4 linked regions of the Oryzias latipes genome follow. The protein of the gene in region 1 interacts with the protein of each later gene in a pairwise test. Links are inferred from orthologs where the notes say so. Each region holds a gene or a part of one and is shown on either strand. Other genes may lie near its edges. The genes, in order: foxp2, tbr1, sp4 and rpia.

Region 1 (6,081 bases):
ATTACATTCACCCCATCCCTCTGATCCTTCTTTTCTGCTAAATTTAGCTTCTTTTTTTTTTTTTCTTCTCCAGCTCAACCTGGTCTCCAGCGTCACCATGTCCAAGAACCTGCCTTCGGCGTCTCCCCCAAACTTACCTCAGACCCCCACCACGCCCACCGCCCCCATCACCCCCATGGCCGCCATGCCCCAGGTGCCGTCGGTGCTGGGCGGGGCAAACGTCCCCAGCATGGGGGCCATGCGGCGACGCCACTCGGACAAATACTCCATGCAGCTATCGTCAGGTGAGCTAAGAAAAACAAACAAACAAACAACGCATGACACGTTAAAAAAAAACGCTAAAGCATCATTAAAGTCGTGGGAATCCCTCGTTATGCAAACAGACAGGAAGCCCCTCGCTGCATGAATGTTGCATGAATCTTAATAAAGTTATCTGTTTATTCCATGTTGTGTGTTAAATTTAGCATTTAGTCTGTCTTTAATGTTTATTTACTCCGTATGTTTAGCGCAAAGCATAAATTATTCAGCTTCCATCCAGCTAACTACACAGATCTGGTGGTTTTTGTGGATGTTTAGAACGTCTCCAGAGAGAGATTAATTAAAAATGGATTTTGAAGATGTAAAAAAAAAAAAACTGCTGATTCGTTGTCTCTTCTCCAATGCCCCCCCCCCCTTTTTATTTTTTTCCATCTGTGTTTTAATTTGATGAAACCTGGAGGAAATTCACAACCTAAAGGACTCAACTTTACCAATTATTTCAGGTGGTGACACAGTATTTATTTTTCCAGAGATCGCCCCAAACTACGAGTTTTATAAGAATGCAGATGTCAGGCCGCCGTTCACTTATGCAACCCTCATAAGACAGGTGAGTGGGAAATAAATTAACTTTGCCTGATTAGATTTGAATTAATTGCAGCATGAATCACGGCAGCCCTGTGAGGCTGTCGGCGTGTGTGCGGCGGCGGCGGCGTGGCGCTCTGGTTTAGCGAAACCCTCATTGGATGTCCTTTCTCCTCACAGGCAATCATGGACTCTGCTGACATGCAGCTAACGCTCAACGAGATCTACAGCTGGTTCACGCGCACCTTCGCTTACTTCAGACGCAACGCCGCCACTTGGAAGGTGGGTGTCACCGAGCTTTTCCTCCACTTCAGAACCCAAATTATTATTATTTTTTTGTTTGTTTTTCCACCTTTTTTTTGTTTAGAAATGACAGCTGGATGACCACCCCCCCCCTTCCCTCCTTCACATATCGTTTTCTAATTTGCTGCAATTAATAGCGGCGCGTTAGCGTGCAGAGGAGGGAGCCGTGACGCGCTAATTATACAGCAGCTCCTCCATCATCAGCAGCTTTTGTTAAGAGATCCGGCAGCCGCCACCCCTCCCTCTCCCCAGATCCAGCTTTGTCTGACAGATCATTGGTTAGTCGGTAGCCAAGATGGCTGTTAACCAGCTCTAAGGGCACAACTTCCACGCTCACATCCAAGCAGGAGCAAGAGGAGGTGATAGGGGGGCCAAATAGGTGTTTATAACTTTATTGTTCCTGTTACAGGGCACAGAGATGCCTCTTAAAAAATAAACACAAGCACGTGTTTTGGTCATGAGACCTTGGTGATTGATCTGTGCCCCCCCCCCCCTGTTTGCCACTTTTAGCCTTTGTGATGTCACAGATGACTGTAGGGGAGAGAGAAAAAAAGCGCCGCCGTTCATTAGCATGCAAGACACGTCGCGGCGCTAGATTTGGCGAAGTGAATTAATTTGGATTTGGGATGCAAATAAGCGCAGGGCCCGCGCCACCGCCGAATTCAGGGGAGATGGGTGCTCTTTTACCGGCCGTTTGCAGGAGGTGGGGGCTCATTGGGTCACAGCGACCCTTTGTCTTCCAGCTGATGTGTTTACATCCACAATATGATCAGCTAAGCACTCGTCATGTGACCAGCAGATATAAAGTGTAAAAAATATGAAAGGTAGTTTAATATCTCAGCTTGGTCTCATCAGCTCAAAAGAGACCCCCCCCCCCTCTCCCCATGCCCAAACCCACTTTTTTTTTCTCTCCCCCTTTTTTTTCCTCCTCTCACCCAGAAGCTTATTAGTTCTAACTATATAGCATGCATAATAAAACTGCTCATTTGCTCATTAATATTAAAATTATCATATTCAGAGCCATGGGCATTAAGATCAATCAAATCTGGGGATTTTCAGGTCAGATGCAAGATCTCCTTATGAGTTTTTTTTTCCCTCCTCCATGAATCTTAAAGAAAGAGCTGCACAAACCTAAGAAAGAAATGATAAACACGAGAGGCAGTGATAATAACCGCTAATATTTGTAGATTCATTCAGTCATTCAGCTTCATAGTTGCATTTCCTGCTAATTATTAAAATCTGTTTATCACTGGCGGATGACATTTCATAAATCTCAAAGGGTGTCATGTTAGGCGCTTGTTTCTACAGCAGATGCGGCGCCGCACAGAGGATGTTTGGACATGTGCGCGTCAGATGCAGTTCGGCTTAATTCCCACCATCCCTTTCTGACTCCTCGCCACGGCGACAGTTGGGATTTTTTTTTTCTTCTCTTCCATTTCTGTCATTTTTTAAGAAATGTGTCCATTAGGAATGGCGCTTTTCTGGAGCGGGAAGGGTTACTGACATCACCATTATCAAGGCCGGCATTACCACTTCTATCACCACCATAAGCCATTCGCTATGCTGATTACCTCCTTTTAGCCTACTTACTCTGATTGATATGTACTGTGCGCAGGACTTGTAAGAGCATTCGCTCTCACTCAATTTTTACTAATTAAGTCAACGGTGTGTGAATTTGAAGAATTTCTTCAGAAAGTACAGCAAAAATCAATTTCCTGATGCCCCCCCCACCACCACCACCACCACCACCACCAAATGACAGCCTCGTTTGACCTGTTTCCCTGTTTTTGTTTGTTTGTTTGTTTGTTTGTTCGTTCTTACAGAATGCAGTTCGCCACAACCTCAGCCTGCACAAGTGCTTTGTGCGCGTGGAGAATGTGAAGGGGGCGGTGTGGACGGTGGATGAGGTGGAGTACCAGAAGCGCAGGTCACAGAAGATCACAGGGTACGACTTTGGTTGCCATAGAAACACAGCAGAGTTTTTTGGATGATGCTTAGCCTCTGATTTTAACCGTAGTTTCCGCACTATAAGACACACTTAAAAGCCTTTAATTTTTTTGTTAAAAATGACCGCGCCTTATAAATGGACAAGTTCTGCTGGTTGTGATGTCGACGCGGTTTTGAGAGGTACAATCTGTTTTTGTTGTTGTTGCTAGCAAGTTTGGGTGGTATTGTTAATATGCTAACCCAGCTAACGTGTAGCGGTTTCAAACTGTTTTTTTTATATGTTACTAACAATGTCGGGAATGAAAGTAGTCACATTGTTTATTTTAGCGGTATCAGTCTGTTTTTTACGTGTTACAAACAAGGTTAGGTGTCATTGTAAACATGCTAACATGGTTAACGGCTAGCAATGTCGAACTGTTTTTTTTTTTTTTTTTTCATGCCACTAACATGGTTGGGAGTTAGCTTTGTCAAAACAATGTTTATTTTATTTGCATCAATTTTGTTACCCTGCTTGCTAACAAGGCTAGGAACTACAGGCATTGTAAACACGCTAACGTGGCTAACATATAGCGTGTTACAGACAAGTTCTGTAGAAACAGTGAACGCACTTTTGTCTGTCTATTTTGTCTCACTTAATGTGTTTTATATTTTGATATATGGCATAAGTTCAAGATTAGGCTTTTCATTGACGATGCGGCTCAATCCCACGCTCCTTATAGTGGAGAAAATATGTTAATTATATTTTATTAATAAAAACTTGCTTTTTAATTTATTGATTTTTTAGATAAATAGAGATTTTAGAAGTATATTTATGGATTTTTATTCGTTTCCTTTGCTTTTTTTGTTGTTTTTTTTAGAAGTCCGTCTCTGGTCAAGAACCTGCCATCCAGTCTCGGTTATGGAAATGCACTGAATGCCAGCTTACAGGTGAGCTCCTCCACCCCCCACCCCCTCCTACGTCCTCCAGTCCAGTCTCGGGCTCAGAAGGCCACCCAGTGGTGGAAGCGGGCAGCAGCTCTCCGCTTCTCTCCCAGTCACCCTAGATTGATAGCGGAGTGTGCAAATGCGAGGGCGCGCGCATTAATATTTATCTGAGCTGTCATAAATGATTTGGCTTCACAGTGTGCGCCAGCGAGGTGCTCATGGCAAAAAACGTTCAAAATTTAATCACTGTATATAAGTTTAATGCGCAGCAGGCGAAAGTGTCAGGAGTTTGATTATTTTGAAGCAAAGTTTTTTTTCCTTGGGTGACTTCATTTTCTTGAAAACGTGGCTGCAGCTCACACAGGGGGGAGGGCCCACCAACAACAGCCCACAAGGTGACACTTAAGAACCAGAGGAGGATGGATTGTAGGAACTACTGTGTTCCTGCAGCTCCACTTTTCTGCCTCCGGGTCACCAAATACCCCATCTTCCTCCCAGGGCTACAGTTTCCCTGTTTTTAAACTCAGCTTTTCATCACTTCTGTGCCTCTAATTCCCAACATTCCCTCTTCTCTTGCCGCAGGCGGCACTGGCCGAGACTTCCCTGCCCTTGCTGGGCAACCCGGGCCTCATGAGCAGCGCCGCCGGCCCGATGGGAGGCAGCTGCCATGGCCTTCTGGGCGGAGATCCATCCGTGCTCACCGGCGGGAGTCCGCCCGGGATGTTAGGTGGGAGCCCACCGGGAATGTTGGGCGGAAGTCCGCCTGGCTTGCTTGGCGGCAGCCCCCCAGGCACGCTGAGCGGGAGCTCCCCCGGCTTGTTGCAGACCGGCCACGAGGAGCTCAACGGCACCCTGGACCACCTGGACACCAACGGACACGGCAGCCCCGGATACTCTCCCTCTGCGCACATGTGAGTCCTCGCCACCAGAAAACCATGACAAATTCACGTCAAAACCTAAAAGCAGCATCTTAGTGTTTCTAGAAATGACATTTAACCCACAATCTTAGGGTGTTTAGGTTTTAAGTTTAAGTCATTTGACTGTTTCTCTGCTCCAATGGGAAGTAATTGAACCTTCAGACGTCTGGGGCCTTTTTCATCATTTTTTTTCACTTAAATAATTCACCTTTAAAACATTTTTTAGTGGCAATGCTTGACCTTGTTTTTTTTAGTACAACCCCACAGATTTTCTCATTATAGTTCACAAAACTACACAAAAAAGATTATTTCGAATGTAAATGTTGTTTTTTTTATTCTAAATCGCAACAATTAAGATGAAGTAGCTGTGATGATTTATAGCAAATATTCTAAGCGTCTGGATAGAATAAAAAGGTACAAATCCCCTCAAAAAAGTCTTTAGCTGCACTCATTGACTGTATATGAGAACTGGAGTGAGTGACTCCTCCCTCCTTTCGTTCCAAAAAGGAAGTACCTACTTGGTTCCAAGACACCAAGGTCCCATAGACTTCTATGGAAAAAATAAACAGCTGTTCTTAAGTCATTCTATTTGTCAGCAAATCTTATCTTCTTACCTTTTCATAGATTTCTTTCATCATATTTTTTTCTGCAACTCATTCAAGTTATAAACTGACCAATCAGATGCTGCAATCATAGTTGTTGTTGTTGTCTCACATACAACAGTCGATTGTCAGATTTTTCCAACAAGCTCACTCCTGATTGGCAAAAGTGAAGTGAGTCATTTTCTATGGGTGATGTCAGTGTCAATCAGTCCAGTCCTCATATACAGTCACTGACTCACAGATGTTGGCCTCCACACAGACGCACCTGTTCAGCACCTCCCCCGTTTACAAAATAATCGTACTCCAAGTTACGGTCAAAGTTGAGAATCCCTGTAGTATAAAAATAGTACATGGTGCTCCTCTTCTGTTGTCTCCTCCGGTTTTTTGCTCTTCAACCAATTTACCCTTTAACACTGGCCACACCCAAATAACACACTTTTGTTTTACATACCATAACTCGTTAACCATTTTCGTGATCAAAGTGCATCATCTGACTTTGACTTGAAGGGAACCAGCTTTGCTACGTTGCGTTATCGAGTTGTAGATTA
Region 2 (4,735 bases), on another chromosome or scaffold:
AAACAACAAAGGTGCCTCCAACAACACCGGGCAGGTAATTTAACATTTTTTTAATTAAAAAAGTTGATTTGTTTTCTTCATTTTTATGTTTTTTTTTCTGGATCTGGATCTTTGCGTCGTTCTCAGCGCACAAAGAAAGCTGTGGCTTTTGCGCCTTCTTCATTTTTTTTTTAAACTTCAAAAGTTAGTTTTACGCGCGCGCTTCTTACTTTGAAACTGCAGATGGTGGTTCTGCAGTCCCTCCACAAGTACCAGCCAAGGCTCCATGTGGTGGAAGTAAACGAGGACGGGACAGAAGACACCAGCCAGCCAGGAAGAGTGCAGACTTTCACCTTCTCGGAGACGCAGTTCATCGCCGTTACAGCGTACCAGAACACCGATGTGAGGGTCCAACGCCGCACCTCAAGCGCACGCAAATATAAATAAATATATAAAATAAACGCTTACAAAACAAAATAAGAAATCTCCTTAAAAATTAAACCCCAATTGTTGCATGCCACTGATTTAACTCTATACAAATAAATACAAATAAGTAAAATTGTTTGAGTTATCACCACTTAAATTAAACTGATCGTTGTCAGATTTTTTGAATTACCATTATCATTTTTTATTTTTTACAGCAATGTTGTTGCAGTAAATATATTAGCACCTAACATTATTTTTAAATTGAATTAATGCTTTTGTCTTCCACAGATCACACAACTAAAAATCGACCACAATCCCTTTGCCAAAGGATTTCGGGACAATTATGACACGTAAGATTTATTTAATTATTTGCATTTTTTGCTTTCTTTTAATAAGCCTGCATATTGATACATAAAAACAGAAACTTAAATAATAGGAAATTTCATATATATATAAATATGTTCATTGATATTTTATTTTTGTTGGAGTGTTTAACCATTTTTTACACCATAAATATAAAGAACAAATGCGTAAAATGCCTGTTGCATGGTTCTTTCTCTGTAATGTGCACATTAACGAACGTCATAATAATATTCTGAAATTACCGTGTAATTATAACATAGATAAAAAATGCAACAAAACACATTTATTTTTAGAGATTCTTTTTGAGAAAGCCAGTTTTTATCTGCGTAAAACTGGAAGTCTATTAAACGGCCTCCACTTTAAATCTAATCCAATCTTCAGAAACAGCTGATTGATTTTTTTGTTTTGTTTTATTTTTATTTTTTTTAATATAAGGCCTTTATTTTTTTATATCAACTCGCCACCGTCCACATTCAGCGCCTGAACCGTTTCTGTTTTCTCCTCCATCTTTTCAGTGTCTACACAGGCTGCGACATTGACCGCCTAACTCCATCACCGGGTGACTCTCCGCGTTCACAGATCGTGCCGGGTGCGAGATATGCCATGCCTAGCTCTTTCCTGCAGGACCAATTTGTCAGCACTTATGCCAAATCTCGCTTTCACCCTGGCGTGGGGACTGCTCCTGGCACGGAGCGCAACGTTCCACTCGGCAACAGCTTGCTGTCTCCTCAGCAAGCCGAGGAGCCCACTGTTGCCACCCCCCCGCAGCGATGGTTTGTCACCCCTGCCAACAACCGACTGGACTTTGCAGCCTCGGCATACGACGCCGCTGATTTCGCCGGTAACGCGGCCACCTTGCTGTCCTACGCAGCGGCCGGAGTGAAGGCTCTCCCCCTGCCGACTGCGAGCTGCTCCAACCGGCCTCTTGGCTATTACGCAGACCCGTCTGGCTGGGGAGGACGCACGCCGCCGCACTACTGCGGCGTCAACAGCAAAGCCAGCTCGGTCTTTTCCTGCTGGCCCGCGAACACCATCGGGGGCCGCTCAGGCACCAGCTACCTGCAGGAGGAGGGGGACTCCATCAGCACGGAGAGGTCACCGATCGGTGGCGCAGAGGAGAGCAAAGCCAAAGACATCACATCTGAGTCTAGCTGGATAGAGACGCCCTCCTCCATCAAATCCATCGATTCCAGCGATTCTGGGATCTTTGAACAGGCCAAACGGAGGAGAATCTCCCCCACTGCCACGCCGGTTTCAGAGACTGTGTCCCCGTTAAAGTCTGAGCTGCTGGCACCGAGGGAGTGTGACAAAAACTGTACAAAGGACATCGGTTATTACAGTTTCTACTCTCATAGTTAGGAATCTATCTATCTATCTATCTATCTATCTATCTATCTATCTATCTATCTATCTATCTATCTATCTATCTATCTATCTATCTATCTATCTATCTATCTATCTATCTATCTATCTATCTATCTATCTATCTATCTATCTATCTATCTATCTATCTATCTATCTATCTATCTATCTATCTATCTATCTGACCGTTCCATCATTACATCCAAAGTGTACATTTTTTGGTTATGACATAAACTGTTAAGATTTGTTGTAATTATGGATATAATGTATATAAATAATAATATTTGGCATTTGTGATAGTGACTGGATGTCCACAAAATAAGAAACAAATATGATCCCCTATGGTGTCTGACAGAGCCAACTGTTCTCCTGTTTGAAGTAGCCTGTTAGTATCTGAAATGTTTAGGAATCTGTACATGAAATGGTTTTTTTGTGTAGCAGAAACTGACACGTCAGTTTTGGGGGAAATGTATTTCTTAATTCTATCAAAGCTGCGGGTGAAGCTGCAGGAAGTTTAAGCGACGATCTCCTTCCTTCATGTGGTTAAAGAAGTTTGTCAGTGTTTGTAGACATGCAGGGTCTCTGCTTCATTTGAGTTTATTTGCTTGTACATGACGTTGTGGAAAATCTCTGTATGTGCTGTGATGTGGATGAAACTTAATAAACAGTGTTCCCCATCAGGGCACGCTTTACTGGATTTAAATGGATCAAACAGATTTTTTTCCTTTAACTTTATATACCTAAATTGCAAAAATTCTTTTATTTTGACATTTTCCTGTCATGCGCAGACTTATTCTTGAAATTTAGCGCTAAGTACAATACAGCAACTCATTATAAACAATATCACATATTTATATTTACATAATGTAACTAACATTTCATCGTTTTTTTATTATTCAAGAAATATGAAAACACGAAATACATAAAAGTGTATTTTTTTCTCACATAAAAATAAAGTAACACATACGATCTATGTCAAGGGATGCAAATTGGCTGGATGCGCTCCACGCGCACACCACGTGAACAAAACCCCTGCAGCTGTCAGTGAAGAAAAACCCTTTAAGAGGCCTCGCTGCGGTTTATGCTCCTTATTATTATTATGAAGCCTTTCCAGATACAAACATCAGATGGCGACAACTGTAAGCTTTAATCAGACAGCTTTCATCAATGGTGGGATCAGAGACGGATTCATTTTTAATTGATGTTACCTTTGGATTGTATAGTGCAGCGTCTGCAATGTACACTAGATGGCGACATTTCACTAACTGCCACGAGATTCAGTGCGCGTGCGGAACATCCAAACGTTCACTTGGATGCAGAATAAACATTTTAAAAGTAAAAAACAAAAACAAACAATTAAAAAAAAATTCGTGAATAAAATCTTATGTATCTTTTGAGGCAAGTCCAGCCTGCAGCTCAATTAAAATAGACACAGGCAGTACAACCCATCATGTATAATACAGAAAAATATGGTGAAAATAGTTTTTTTAATACAAAAACATATAACATACTTTATGATCAAAAATGTAATCTCCTGTTGATCTCAAATTCCCTTGGTGAATATATACCAAATAATTTTCATCAAGTATTTAAAAACAAATGTGTTTCTATGGTGTTTCTGTCAACCTACCAACAAAAAAATGCAATAGATGTATTTTTTCAACCTACATATTCTTAGATTATTTTAAGTTAAATTTTATGTTTAAAAATATTTTTATTTTCAACCTAGACTTATATTTTTAAACACCTGGAGAGCACTATTTTTGTTGTGCATACAATGCCAATAAACGATATTCAGATTTTGACAAAATAAATTCTATAACTGTATATACATTTCAATATACTTAACATGTAGTAGATATGCAAAAAAAGTAACACTTTTCATTAAGTCATAGATGCTGTCACTGAAATCTTAATAATTCTTGTTAAGCCTTGGAAAAAAATGCAGATTTAAAATCTGAATACAAAAAGAAACAGAGAACCTTGGTGACATCACAAATCCCTTTTCAGCAGCACACTTCAACTATTTCATAAAAAGTCATTCCAAAAGACGTAAAAACGTCCAAACAGGTTCCAAAATACTGAAAACACAGAAACCAACAAGGTCAAGACCGAAAATAAAAGTGCACAAATGGACAGTTGAAAGTGTTACAGCCAGATGACTCTTTTACTAAGCCTCCAGTACTTCTCCAAATAAAGCTTCAGTTTGAGTTCATTTTATTATGGAGGGGAGCAAAACTAAAAGCTTTTTTTGTGATTTTGTTTTACCTGTGAGAACAGCATGAAACGTCTCTGAACAGCTGAGATCAGAGCTCCTGAATTCTACCATCTGACATTTGTGAGAGCTGTAAGGGTCAGGCCAAAAACCGCTTTGTAGGAGCACAACAGCGCATCAAATACGGGGAGGTCCAGTCATCTCATTCATCCTGCACATCACAACGTGTGAGGGATTCGAAAACAATCACATGCATGAAACATGCATAAAAAAAATTATTGTTCAGGATGCTTGTATACTCTAGAGGAAAGTTATATCTTAAAATAACAAAACCCCGAGCCCCAGACGAGCAGCTCACCACCGGGAGTCCCAGGCATCCCCCCTCCCCAA
Region 3 (6,727 bases), on another chromosome or scaffold:
GGATGTTTCTGATATTTTGCTTTAAGTGGTTAATCTGGGAACCGGCCCCAAAATTGATTCAAAAGTCCTATAAAAAACGTCAATCACTTCTGAAAAAAGTGTCTCATAGTCACACTGTTACACTTATTGTGTACTTACCCTGCAGACCGGTGATGGTGAGAGGAACCCCCTGCACCTGAACCCCAGCAGTGCCCAGTCCTGCGATGCTGACCGTTTGTACCCCTGAGCCTGGGTTGATCTGAGCTGCACTCAAAGTCAAGGGAGTGCCGCTCAGGGAGACCAACCCCCCACCCCCCACCGTCGCACCGCCTGCAACCGGGGCCAGGGTCAGCTGCTGCGGCACAGCCGCCCCGAGACCGCCCTGCAGCGACACTCCTCCAGGAAGTTGCAACGTCTGCCAGGTGATTTGCCCAGAAGGTGACAGAGTAGGAGTGCGAATGAGAACCTGGGCTGGGTTCTGGATGGCCTGGATGGGCTGCAGAGTTTGTCCTGGCGCCAACTGAAGGGTCTGAATCTGCTGAGGCTGCTGCTGGTTCTGTGGCTGACCCTGACTCTGGGCTTGGGGTTGCAACTGGATCTGCTGGACCAGCTGATGCCCAACCTGACCCACGATCACCTGCTGGATGGTTCCGACGGCGTCAGTCTGATTCTGCAGCCCGTTGGCTTGGTTTTGGTTCTGAGAATCTGCCTCGCTGCTCTGTACCTGAGCGTCAGCTGATCCTGTAGAAACCACTTGAGCCGCGTCTGACACGCCGTCGCCCTCAGCTGCCGCTGCTGTGGATCCAGTTGCAGCTGGAGCAGCTCCAGAAACAGCTGTTGTCACCAGCTGGTTGCCATTAGCAACAGAAAATGTGCCATCCGCTGATTGGATGAGCTGAACGGCTCCGCCCGCTCCAACGTTATTGATTACAGGTAAAGCCAGGGTCATGCCACCTAGGTTTATGGGTACTGTGGTCATGACAGGGGGCTGAGAGCCCTGTAGAGTCTGCAGCTGAAGTGGAAAGGACTGTGCTGGACGGATCTGCAGAGGGACGGTCTGATTGGTTGTGCTTGGGAGGATAGTCTGCTGGTTGGCCGGCTGGAGGATAGCCTGAGTCTGGCCAGAGTTGGGGTTCTGAATTAGCTGAACCTGCTCAGGCAGAGCTCCAATGGAAGCAGGCTGGGGGCTAATGTGTACTTGCTGTCCATCTGCAGTTTGCAGGTGGGGGATGACCTGATATTGGACACCGCCAGCAGCATTAGAGAGGTTTTGAACCTGGATGATCTGGTATTGCTGCTGCTGTGGCTGACCCGCGGTCACACTGTTGCTCCCACCTGCTGCTTTTAGCTGTGAAAACAGAAAACGATCAGATTACTGAAAAGTGCAAACATACCCCCTGATGCTAAAAAAAAACCATTCACCTTCCGTCCAACAGGTGAGCTGTCGTTGGCCACAGTGGTGGCCACCGATACCGCGACGGGCTGACTGGCGTTCTCCTTGGCCATGGCAGGCGCTGCTGTAATGATCTGCCAACCGTTCCCCGTGAACTGAGCTGGGATCAGTTCCAGCTGCTGGGGCATCAGAGCCTGACCCCCAGCTGCGTCCACCACTATCTGACCCTGGAGCTGACCGGCCTGCAACTGGATTTGACCCGCCTGAACCTGGATCTGTGGGGCACCCGCCTGGGCCTGGGACCCCTCTGTTCCCCCCTGCCCTCCGATCTTACTGCAGGTGGCCGCCAGCAGAGCCAAGGGCGAGGGCTGAGAGGAATCCTGGGTGAAAAACGATGAGGAGGTAAAGCGGTCATCCACGAGTGACAGAGAGTTGTTGAGCACACAAAGAACATCATGTGCTTAATAGGAGCGACACCGGATTGTTCAATATGAACCAAAATCGACTGTGAGTGGTGTCAGCAATCACAAATTATTATATAAATCCAATCGTTGTTCAAGTGAATTGTTACACCCCTAGTGCATATAAAAACACAAGGATTGCTGGGTTACACAGGCAACAATTTAAAAAATGAGGGGAAAAAACGAGAAAGCAAGGGAAAGAACTCTGAAAAAAAAAATGCTACCAGACATAGAACTGTCAGTGGAAGTGGGCGGTATTACAGGAAGCTAGTGGGAGGGCGTGTGAGAACCACATTTCTCTTTTCTCAGAACGCTTGAAGAAAATGCAACCTCCTCTCTTGCCTTTAGAAAAAACTAGGTCGCAGCAGTTTTTTTTTTTTTCTTCAATCCTGCTTAATAGGAAACAGCCTCAAATTTGTTTAAGAAAAAAAAATGTCGTTTGCAAAAGGTGAGAGTATGCTTCTGGTGAACCATCAATGACAAAAAGTAGATAATGGTATGACGGAAAAACGATCTGCATGCATGCAAAACCTGAAGATCCTGTGCTGCAAAGACATCAAAAGTATCGCTACTAAAGGATTCTGTTCATAATTGAAAATGTTTATTTAAAAAAACTACAACAGCTGGATCATGACAACCATGTAAGCGTCTATTCATGAGGGTTGGCTCTCAGCAGGGCTCTACAGAAGCAGGAAGTGAAATTCACTGGAGAAACGCCCCTAGAGGTGTCTGGCTGGCCTGCTGTGAGGGAGGAGGGGGGAACTTTTTTTTTTTTTTGGGCCAAGAGACAAAAATCAAACTAGTGAAGTGTATTAAACTGCACGACTTTACCTGTGAAGCAGAACTTTTCCCTCTTTTAGATGCTTTCCCTCCTTCAGTTCCAGATGATTCCTTCTTCGAGTCTGTTAAAAGAGAGACTTTTACTTTTAATACATTGGTAGCACGAGACAGGCAATAAAAATGCAATCTTGTGCATGAATTAGATATAGCATAACAAAGGTAATCAACAAAGACAAGAGGGAAAAGACAGTAACCTCATCATCAATACCAAAGGGGCATGGAGGCTCATTTCTGTTAGACGGATACACAGAGGGGTGGAGACGGAAAGGGGGGAGGGTACCTACCACTCATAACGCATTAATATACCGAGAGGAAGAGGGTGTAGTTCACGGTGGAAGGCCGGCCGGGTAAAGAGGCGGAGGACGCCTATATGTTCGGCTCTGAGCCGTGGCGGATCTCCTCGTTTGACGAAACCACCCACCGGCCAGGAAGGGCGGTGCCAAGCGCGAGCACAATCAAGCAGTCCCAAATAACGGAAACAACGGAGAGCCCCGCGTGACCGTCCTCGCGCCTCAAAGCTCCTCGCGGCGCAGTCGTGCGTCTCTGTTAGCGGATAGAGAGTCCATACGCGAGCAAATTGATGCCTGTCAGATCGATATCCACAGAGAAGTTGGCACTGTGTGACCGTAGAGGCCCACCCACTTCCATTTAAGCATCAGGACAACACCCTCCTCGCTGCTCCTGCCTGTCACCGCTGGTTTTCTCCCACACGACGCGGGGACGCCTCGTCGCCGGCCGCCGTGCACCGAACACAAATGGTCACCGGTTTTTGTATTTTATCAGCGTGTTCCCTTTTTTCACGGACAATTGTTGTTTTTTTAAGAGGGAGATACGAGCAGATAGCTGTGGCTTTTGTGGGCGGATACGCTCCTCCCACATATTCAGATTGGATGACGGGACTCGGCGTGCGAGGGTCGAGATGGGAGTTGTATTTTGGTGAAGCCTCGCCTTCTCGAATAAGCTAGAGCCATTTTAACTACATTTCCCATAATGCTTCAGCAGGCCTGTCTGAGAGTTGAAGCGGTAGTCATGTTGGTGTGAGAGCGACAGAAGCGGGCGGTGACTTCTGTTTTATGGGGGTTGGGCGACCGGGAAAGGGAGGTGCGCTGCGTCTGGGTCAAGTTCAATTTGGGCTCTAAAAGAGACTAATCAGCGGAATGGAAGTGTTCTTTTATTAAAAAAACAATTAAGCTAATTGATTTTTTCAATTTATTTTAGATTTTAATGAATGTTATCCACAGCTATAAAACAACCCAACAATAATACAAGAAGGAACTACGTTGTTTCTTGTGTCAACTAGTTTTCAAAAATGAATTTTCCTTTTCTTTTTTCACACGTATGTATGTATGTATGTATGTATGTATGTATGTATGTATGTATGTATGTATGTATGTATGTATGTATGTATGTATGTATGTATGTATGTATGTATGTATGTATGTATGTATGTATGTATGTATGTATGTATGTGTGTATGTGTGTATATATATATATGTGCATATATATATATATATATATGTGCACAGGTTGGTGTGTCGTGACTTGCAGTCTTGGGCGACTGTTCTGTCGACCAGGAGTTGGTGTTTGGCTCCTCTGGAGTCTCTACCAATGCTCTTCTGTGTGTTACTCATGAATTGATCCATGTGCCTGTTTATCTTGGTTGCAATGATGCCTGACATGAGCTTCCATGTTGTGGACAGACAGGTTATTGGCCGGTAGTTGGATGGGATTGCGCCCTTTGAGGGATCCTTCTGGATCAGGATCCTCTACATGGATGACATCAAGCTATATGCTAAGAGCGAGCGTGACATTGATTCCCTGATCCACACCACCAGGATCTACAGTACTGACATTGGGATGTCATTCGGGCTCGAGAAATGCAGCCGGATGGTGACAAAAAGAGGCAAGGTAGTCCACACAGGAGGGGTCTCACTCCCAGAAGGAACAATAACAGACATCGAGGACAGTTACAAGTACCTTGGAATTCCCCAGGCAAATGGCAACCTGGAGCAGGCAACAAGGAAAGCTGCAACAGCTAAATACCTCCAACGAGTAAGGCAAGTCCTGAGAAGCCCGCTCAATGGCAAAAATAAGACCCGGGCAATAAACAGCTACGCACTGCCAGTTATCAGATACCCTGCAGGAATAATAAGATGGCCAAAGGAAGAGATACAGACCACGGATGTTAAAACACGAAAGCTCCTCACCATGCATGGAGGGCTCCATCCCAAATCCAGCACCCTGAGACTGTATGCTAGCCGCAAGGAAGGAGGCCGAGGACTAGTGAGTGTAGAAGCCACTATCCAGGATGAAACATCCAAGATGCATGAGTACATCAAGCTCAAGGCCCCAACTGACAGTGTGCTCAGTGAATGTCTCAGGCAATGGAGAGCAGAGGACACAGTGCTGGAGGACAGATCATCATGGGAGGACAAACCCCTGCATGGGATGTACCACCGGACCATAACTGAAGTGGCTGATATCAAGAAGTCCTACCAATGGCTAGAAAGGGCTGGCCTACAGGACAGCACTGAAGCACTCATCCTGGCAGCTCAGGAACAAGCCCTGAGCACCAGAGCGATAGAGGCTCAGATCTACCACACCAGACAAGACCCAAGATGTAGGCTGTGCAAAGAGGCCCCTGAAACAATCCAGCACATAACTGCAGGATGTAAGATGCTGGCAGGTAAAGCATACATGGAGCGCCACAATCAAGTGGCTGGAATAATATACAGGAACATGTGTGCAGAATATGAACTGGAAACCCCAAGGTCAAAATGGGAAACACCTCCGAAGGTGGTAGAGAATGAGAAGGCAAAGATCCTGTGGGACTTGCAGATCCAGACTGATAGGATGGTAATGGCAAACCAACCAGACATTGTTGTGGTGGATAAAGAACAGAGGAAAGCCGTTGTGGTGGATGTGGCAGTGCCAAGCGATGGAAACATCAGGAAGAAGGAACATGAGAAACTGGAGAAATACCAGGGACTCAGAGAAGAACTGGAGAAAGCATGGAAAGTGAAGGTGACAGTGGTGCCTGTGGTAATTGGAGCACTCGGGGCAGTAACCCCCAAGCTGGAGGAGTGGCTACAACAGATACCTGGAAAGACCTCAGACCTCTCAGTCCAGAAGAGCGCAGTGCTAGGAACAGCTAAGATACTGCGCAGGACCCTCAAGCTCCCAGGCCTCTGGTAGAGGACCCGAGCTTGGAGGAAAAACCACCCACGGAGGGTGAGAGGGGCGTTTTTTTTTTTTATAAAATAACATAAACAAATCTTTGAGAATACAGGCAAAGCTTTAGGAGAATATGGTGGAAAAATGATGTGGGGAAAAAATGTCAAAACATTTTATGAAAACAATGATCATCGTTAGTAATCTTCATAGGAACACGACCATTAGGGATATTTGAATAACATCCACAATCCACATCCGCTTTTCCATTTTGTATGGGGTTTTTGCAGATAATGTTCTTTCACAAATTTATTTTCAGCTGAATATACCATACAAATGTGAAAACCTTGATTGAAACACAATATTCTTCCATACATACAAATTCTTCAGTTTTAAAAGGTTGAAAACCCCTTTTTTTTTAAGAGTGAACTAGCAAAAATACCTGAGAGATTTACTCATTTAACAATAAAAAGATAATCTACTGGAAAACAGTTTTTCACCATGCCTGCTAGTTCCTCTTCAGGGTGATGCTATCCGCTTTCGCTCAAAAGTGGGATCCAGCCTGCATGTTTTGCCTGTCCGTTGCAAGGCCACACAGATATATAACCACAAGTTCACACCTATGGGCAATTTAGAGTCACAAACTAACCTGAGGCATGTTTTTGGACGGTGGAAGGAAGCTGGAGAGAACCCACGCATGCAGAGTGAGAACATGCAAACTCCACACAGAAAGGCCCCAGCTGGAATTCAGTCCAGGGCCTTCTCACCGTGAGGCGGGAGGGTTAACCACTACTCGACTCTGCAGCCCCCACATCAAGCAGTCCGCTTATATACTGCTGTTCCACAAAAAATAACACATGGAACATTTGCTTCAGCAAACAGT
Region 4 (6,748 bases), on another chromosome or scaffold:
GGCGATTACCCTGGAGATGGGAACCCACGCCATGGGGATCACCTCGATGGGAATTCCTTTCCTCCACTGCTGGCCCAGAGCCTCAGAGTCTTTCCTGGAAAAAAGCAGGGATTTCAAATCTGGACATCTTCCCACCTTTCAGCAGAACCAAACTCTGTTAGAAATACTTCTGCTCTCTTCTCAATACTTCTGCATGAAAATGATGCTCACCTGTAATCAGCAATCACAACAAAACTTTTTGCACAGCCGGCGACGATCTTCTCTTGCGTCAGACAACCGCTGTAGCACAGAGACGGCCAGTGAGTTGATGTTTGAATCCAGGGATGTGCTCTGCACTGAACTCACCCTCCACCTTTGATCAGCGTCAGGTCTGCGTCCACCTCATCCGCCCCGTCGATCGCCACGTCCAGCTGCACAGCAAAAGCAGAGCGCAGATCAGACTAAGGCTTCCTTCACTAAAGCAGAGGGCTTTCCCCACCAACCTCTGGGTGTCGGTCCAGATCCGACAGCGCCAGGCCGTGCTGCAGAATCAGCTGCCGGGCCTGCAGGAGGAAGACAACAGCGTTGGACGGGGTAGGCCGCATTGTAACCAATAAAGCGTTACAGCTATTTTTTAAACTTTATTAACAAATATTGCACATACAAAATACCAAACATTGATACTCCACGCTATGTGCAAAAGGCAAATGCCAAAAAGACACAATAACAGCTATATAAAACCTATTAAGCAAAGAATTACAATAAAGGCAAAGGAATCTGAAAAGAGACCATGTTTCAACTGTTCTAACAGCTTTTTGTTAGTGCAGGATTGAATACCATTTACATACAGAATCATTTTTTTCTGGAAAACATAAAAAACAGGTTTTGCTATTGGCATATTTACACTTGTGTATGAAATATTGAGCGTTACACGTATGTTCTGCAAGCATGACAGCTCACTTAGTCTGCAGAAAAAACATGTATGCTAACTTCAACGAGCAGAGATGAAGCCTGCAGCCAGCAGGGAGGAGCTTCTTCCAAGAGGCAGAAGAAAAAAAGAAGCTTGTTGTGTAATATTTATAAGCGCATGTAACGCGTAGAGCACCCCCCCACCCCCTGTAACTTCTGTTTGCGTCTCTGTAGCGCTTGGTTTCGGCTGATGGGGCAGTGGAACACGCGTCAGCTTTCAGCAGGATCCAGACAGACCTGCAGAATAAAGCTGCTGGACTCACTGCAGCATCAAAGCTTAAAAAAAAGGGTCGGTTTGAAGACGGCGCTGATGTTAAACCCTGATGCTAACATGCTACGATCATGCTATGCTAACGAGCTGTTCCGAGTGTCGCCAGACTGGGACCACAAACTGGTTTAAAGTGACACAATATTTACACAGAGCGGACTTTAAGACGGGGAGGATGAACTGTATTTTCTAAACACAATAACAGACGTGAATGAAACTTTATTAGCAACATCTAACATTACAGAGCCGCAGAATTAGGAAAAAGATACATTTTCTTTCAATCTGCTGCCCTTTAGTGAATCTGTCCATGTTTTATTTTTAAAGATGTGTTCATCCTATTTATAGATTTCTTTAAGGTCATTTTATTTTCTGACAGATTAGAAATCACTTTGAACAGTTGTTTCCATGTTGTGACGTCCTCTCTGTCTGCACTCCTCCTTGTTTTTAATTGACACCGATAGTTTTTCTGTGTAGTGTAACAATTTGTCCACACACAGCAAAATTGGTTTGAAGGTTGTAGCTGACAAAAGTGGGAGGACGACACATTTGTTTGAACACCTGAAACAAACTCTGTTCAGAGAGAAGCGTTTCTCTTCATCAGACGCTCCAGCTGTCTGCAGCTCCCAAAAATGGATCTGCAGACATTTCTACAGCTTTTGTGTTTAGCTGAACTTTGTGCTGGAGCCTACTTTTTAAAGGTGATGTTAAAATTAAGTAGTTTTTGTTGAATATATCCCATCATTTGTAATTTTTGTTAAAGAAATTAAAAGGACGGAGAAAAAAAAAAGTGTTATGGAGTGAAAAAAAGATTTTATTTTTTTGGCCACATGGCCCAGGTCTAATCTGTGTGTAGAAAAGTCATTTAAATAAACAACCAGAAAACACAGAAGTAGAAGTTAAATAAGAAGAAATAGATCTTTTTTTGGGGTGGAGTTATGAAGAAACAAGAAACTATTTTTTGTTCTTTTTATTTATATTTTACATTTGATGTTCAGAGTTTGTAATTAAATTTGTAATTTGTTTGGTTCAAACTGTTTTGTTTTGTTGCATTTCTGGCTGCGCTTTAATGTGAGACACGCATCAGGTTGCAGTGTTTTACATTTGTTTCTTCAGTAACCAGGTAAGTAAACTTAAACTGAAGTGTCACTGGGTAATTAAAAGGAGTCAGAGTAGGAGCAGCAGGTTTGAAGAGCCAGATTCAAACACTTCTACAGGAGAAGCTATCTTTAGTGAATTCTTTGCCCAAACCCACAAAGGGTGCAGCATCTGCAGATGATGATCAGCTGAGGTCAGCGTTGAAGGGTGAGAAACCATGAGTTCGTGTGGACATTGATTCTGTTTTGCAGTTTCCCCCCCAAAAAAAATCGAGCAGAAAGCAAAGCAGGACTTTGCACTGAAATGTTGCATTTAGCAAAGATCTGAGAGGTCTGTAGCAACACATGCAAAGAATGTGCTAACTGTCGTAGTGCAACGCGCCAGTTTCCTGATTTCACAAACACAAATGGTCCGAGTGGAGGAACTTGAGAAAATAAACTCGCAGCAAAAAGAAAAGCGATGAAAGCGGATCACAACAGCACATCCACTCACCTGGAAGGAGGTGGGAACACACACAATGTTGAGTTTTTCCTGCATCACTCTCTCCGCTGCAACAGAGACAAAACGGAGGCCACATAAACACTGGACCCATGAACGCCAAGTGGTCAGTTCTGCTCTTTGACTGCAGTCACAGCTGCTGGAATGGAACCATCACCAGCGGCTGCAAGCAGGCTCCTCCCACTGGACACAGACATGAACAGTTCAACGGCGCTCACCCAGTCGGTCCACGGCGTACACAATGGTTGATCCACTGCCCACTCCAACCACCTGGTTGTTCTACAGAAAACAAGGAGGCGTGGTGTCTGAATCCATTCAGCTCACAAGATCACAATCCAGTTTGATTTTTAATTTAAATCCCATTCATCAGGTTTCAGTATGATATTCATGTTTCAATAAATGGTAAAGTCACATGAACATTTTAAAAACAGAAAAGCTAGTGATTTACAACTGTAATAATGTCTTTCAGACACACATCAAGGCAACATTTAGGAGCAATGTTGGCTGGAAAAGACGCTTCAAGAAGCTGCAGAGAGTGAAATTTTTCATAAAAACACATTTTATCTATATATAAAAATCTATAATTAACATGAAAGTCCAAGCAAAACAAAAATAACATTGATACTGTTTTTATTGAAATTAAAATAGGTGTTTAGGTTCACCTTTCACCTGAGGGTCGCTTTTCTGGCCCACGGGGGCTCCCGTTCCCGGTCGGAGGAGCTGACCTCTGACCCCCCACACTTATGGCTAACAACACCGTTAATTCCAGCCTAGACTAACTTCTACACCGCTCATGCCCCTGTTTTCCTTTTCACCCTAAATGTTTCCTAGCTGCAGCACCATAGTGCGGTTCAAAGCGGGACAAGCCCGCGCAAAGCCGCGCTAAGTCGCTTTAAAGTATTTAGATAATGTTGTACTTGCTAACTTTGCCGCGCGCCGGAACTACTAGCTGAACGGCCGTGACGTCGTCTCAAACTCTCCTGCTGCAGGACTCGAACGGACGCGTTCGCTCAGAGGACAGCGACTAGGGTACCTGGACGTGGTTGTCCACGGCGGCGTAGGCGGCCAGCTTCTTCGCCTCCTCTGCCATGCCAGCATCAGACTCGCGGGAGCAGCGCACGTGCCGGTGACTGGAGAGCGCGAGGAGCTTCCGCGAGGGTGGAGCGCAGAGGAGTGGTACGAACCCTGGTAGCCTCATGACACCCCCCTCCCGCAAGCGCAAGAGAGCCTCCCCAAGACGACTACCCCTCGCTGCAGTGGGCAGTGTGCCTCGACGTGGGCGGGGCTAAACGCGTTGGGCTCCGCCCACAGAACGTGATTCCATTTCTTCTTCTTCGCTGCAGTCAGATTGTCCATGTGCAGCGACACAACACGGAACTGCAAGATGGAGGTACGCATCAACAAACAAACGGGCATTCATGACAATAAGACACATTTTCGCCTCACGGATGAGGCTGTTATTTGTATTTTTGCTTTTTTCTGTCGTAATATCCACGTAGTTCAGGTTTCACACGGAACTACAAGTTAGAATTGCGGCTCTACTCCTCGGGACTTTCGTAATCATCATGATGATGTTCAACTTTTTTGTGTCTTCCAATCAATGTAGGTGAAACTTTCCGGTTTTTTCCACCTGTATTTTTCCTCTCTTTACAGAGACACGTTACAGTCTTATTGGGCAATGAAAAACCAACGCCGAAAACCCTAAACGGTTCTTCCCACTGTCCGTTCTGCCGCTACAAGGGCGCAGAGCATGCTGTGAGACACCACATGGAAAACCATTCGTCCGTCAAACACAAAGGTACAGTCTGGGTTCTGAATGGAAACTGTCAGTCACAAGTCACAAGTCATGAAGTATGTTCTTCCCATCATTCCTCTTTTAGGATTCACAGTCATCAAGTGTGGTTTAGGTTGCCGGACTGCGTCACACTTTCACTGTTGCCATTGTCCGGCAACATTGGTCAACAGGTCACAGTTTTTCAAACATTTGGGAGCGCACCACGTAGGAAATCCTCCATGGCTGCTAGAGGTCAAACCAGAGCCCCCACCGCAGCTCCCACTGGCCCCACCACAACTCCCAGAGCCCTCATCGCAGCCCCCACTGGCCCCACCACAGCTCCCAGAGCCTTCATCGCAGCCCCCACTGGCCCCACCACAACTCCCAGAGCCCTCATCGCAGCCCCCACTGGCCCCACCACAACTCCCAGAGCCCTCATCGCAGCCCCCACTGGCCCCATCACAGCTCCCGCTGGCCCCACCGCAGATCCCACTGTCCCTATCACAGCTCCCAGACCCCTCCTCGCAGTCCCCGCTGGCCCCATCGCAGTCCCCGCTGGCCCCATCGCAGCTCCCAGAGCCCCCATCGCAGTCCCCACTGTCCCCACCTCAGCCCCCATTGCAGCAACCAGCACAGCTTCTATGGCAGCAAACCCCGGCCCCACCACATCCCTCAGAGCGCCCCCAGCAGCAAAAAAACCCAAAGGAAATGTGTCGGACGCAGACAATTCTTTGTCATCTCTGCGGTTTGAATTTAAAAAAAAAAAACTTCAAAACACACTGCAAGAGGAAGCACAAGCAGTATTTTGAGACAGTTTCCATGGAAAGATTTCTATCCAGCCAGTGTGTGGATGAAAAAAATGGCGTGTTTGCTGTTCAGGAATCCTTCTGTGGTTCAGCAAAGCCTGTGCATGTTGTGAAGAAATTCTGGGGGGCGAGTCCCGTCACTGTGTGTGAGGTGGACCAGTGCCGGCTCAACGGGGACTTTGCCCACACAAGTGGGATGCCGCCCTACGAATGCCACCACGTCAGATCTCTACTGTACTGCCCACGAGCCGACAACCAGCATGTCACTCTATCTGAGGAGGCATTGGAGACGATGGTAGAGCAGAAATGGTTTGGGGAAGAGCAGAAGGCCAGTCTGTTGCAATGTAAAAGGAAGGCAGATGCGGAGGAGGTGCCCCTTTCTGTGCAGCTGACTGTGGGCGGCCCACCATCCAAAATCCATATCTCTGTCTATGAGCCAGAAATCACATGTGATAGTCGTGTGGGCCGATTGATAGTTGCGTATGACAGAAAACAGAACAGCTGGCATTGTTCGTGCTCAATAGTAACACAGTCCTGCAACCATAAAGCCATTGCGAAGTGGCACCTCTTTGTCACAAATGGGGAGTTGTTTCAGAAAGCGTCGGTTACGGAAGCTGAGTCACCTGACCCGCCCCAGGACGCCGGAGAAGATTCAAGCCCCCGCACATTCAGTTGCCCTCCATATGACGAGTCCACTCTCAAAATGCTGAACTACCTTTTGAAGTACAAAAAGCTTCCAGGAGAACTCCCCAAGGCTCTCATTGAGCAGTCCAAAAATGGGAGAACACAGGACAGCTTTCCGAAATGCCTAATCCCAGCAGAAACGACATGTGTGGAGTGTGAGTACCCACTTGGTGGGCAACAAATAATAACCTCCGAAGCCAGGATCCTGACCAGCACAGGTGTGGTTGAAGGTTAGTACAGGTCCAACCATCACCATCTTGGGTGTGTTTCTTGAGTCACACAAATGATTATGTAATCAATTTGGAATGACATATAACCAACAACAATGGTTTATTGTTGTTTTTAGGCATATCAACATACAGGAAGTCATGCCTCAAGTGTGGCATGATATATCGATACCAGGAGTGGGAGGACGGCGTCCACAATTTTGACGACCATCTCATCTTGTCTCTGCACCTGTGCCTCGTGATAAGAAATGCTTTACAGGTGAGATTTGGAACGTTTGCAGGCTTTAATCAAACTGTTCTGATATCTAATTGTGACATTTCTCCTGTTCAGACGCACACGGCCGTCAGTGAAGTCATAGACGTCATCCAGACCACAGACAGGCTGTCCTTTCCCAACACAGAGAGGATACTTCAGGCATATCTTCACTTCGAGGCCCTCACTAAACAC

The links.
Region 2: the proteins of foxp2 (region 1) and tbr1 interact in a two-hybrid assay, tested with the Homo sapiens proteins (2 studies listed by BioGRID and IntAct, with this or other methods). The link is inferred for Oryzias latipes from reciprocal best matches to the Homo sapiens genes FOXP2 and TBR1.
Region 3: the proteins of foxp2 (region 1) and sp4 interact in a two-hybrid assay, tested with the Homo sapiens proteins (2 studies listed by BioGRID). The link is inferred for Oryzias latipes from reciprocal best matches to the Homo sapiens genes FOXP2 and SP4.
Region 4: the proteins of foxp2 (region 1) and rpia interact in a two-hybrid assay, tested with the Homo sapiens proteins (2 studies listed by BioGRID). The link is inferred for Oryzias latipes from reciprocal best matches to the Homo sapiens genes FOXP2 and RPIA.

What each region holds. Positions count from the first base shown.
Region 1 is NC_019881.2:5,140,715-5,146,795, reverse strand, and holds part of foxp2 (forkhead box protein P2), read left to right. Parts: intron 1-73; coding exon 74-284; intron 285-761; coding exon 762-865; intron 866-1,020; coding exon 1,021-1,122; intron 1,123-2,966; coding exon 2,967-3,088; intron 3,089-3,947; coding exon 3,948-4,017; intron 4,018-4,596; coding exon 4,597-4,925; intron 4,926-6,081. UniProt on the Homo sapiens protein: Transcriptional repressor that may play a role in the specification and differentiation of lung epithelium. May also play a role in developing neural, gastrointestinal and cardiovascular tissues.
Region 2 is NC_019879.2:21,024,565-21,029,299, forward strand, and holds the end of tbr1 (T-box brain protein 1), read left to right. Parts: coding exon 1-34; intron 35-222; coding exon 223-381; intron 382-693; coding exon 694-755; intron 756-1,283; coding exon 1,284-2,127; 3' UTR 2,128-2,827; downstream 2,828-4,735. UniProt on the Homo sapiens protein: Transcriptional repressor involved in multiple aspects of cortical development, including neuronal migration, laminar and areal identity, and axonal projection.
Region 3 is NC_019869.2:9,695,171-9,701,897, forward strand, and holds the start of sp4 (transcription factor Sp4), read right to left. Parts: upstream 3,797-6,727; 5' UTR 2,965-3,796; coding exon 2,958-2,964; intron 2,736-2,957; coding exon 2,665-2,735; intron 1,753-2,664; coding exon 1,402-1,752; intron 1,328-1,401; coding exon 139-1,327; intron 1-138. UniProt on the Homo sapiens protein: Binds to GT and GC boxes promoters elements. Probable transcriptional activator.
Region 4 is NC_019880.2:22,088,663-22,095,410, forward strand, and holds the start of rpia (ribose-5-phosphate isomerase), read right to left. Parts: upstream 4,057-6,748; 5' UTR 4,008-4,056; coding exon 3,843-4,007; intron 3,089-3,842; coding exon 3,028-3,088; intron 2,860-3,027; coding exon 2,804-2,859; intron 543-2,803; coding exon 483-542; intron 411-482; coding exon 346-410; intron 280-345; coding exon 211-279; intron 95-210; coding exon 1-94. Other genes in the region: uncharacterized protein LOC101171122, read left to right, coding at 4,164-4,199, 4,463-4,607, 4,690-6,303, 6,420-6,559, 6,632-6,748. UniProt on the Homo sapiens protein: Catalyzes the reversible conversion of ribose-5-phosphate to ribulose 5-phosphate and participates in the first step of the non-oxidative branch of the pentose phosphate pathway.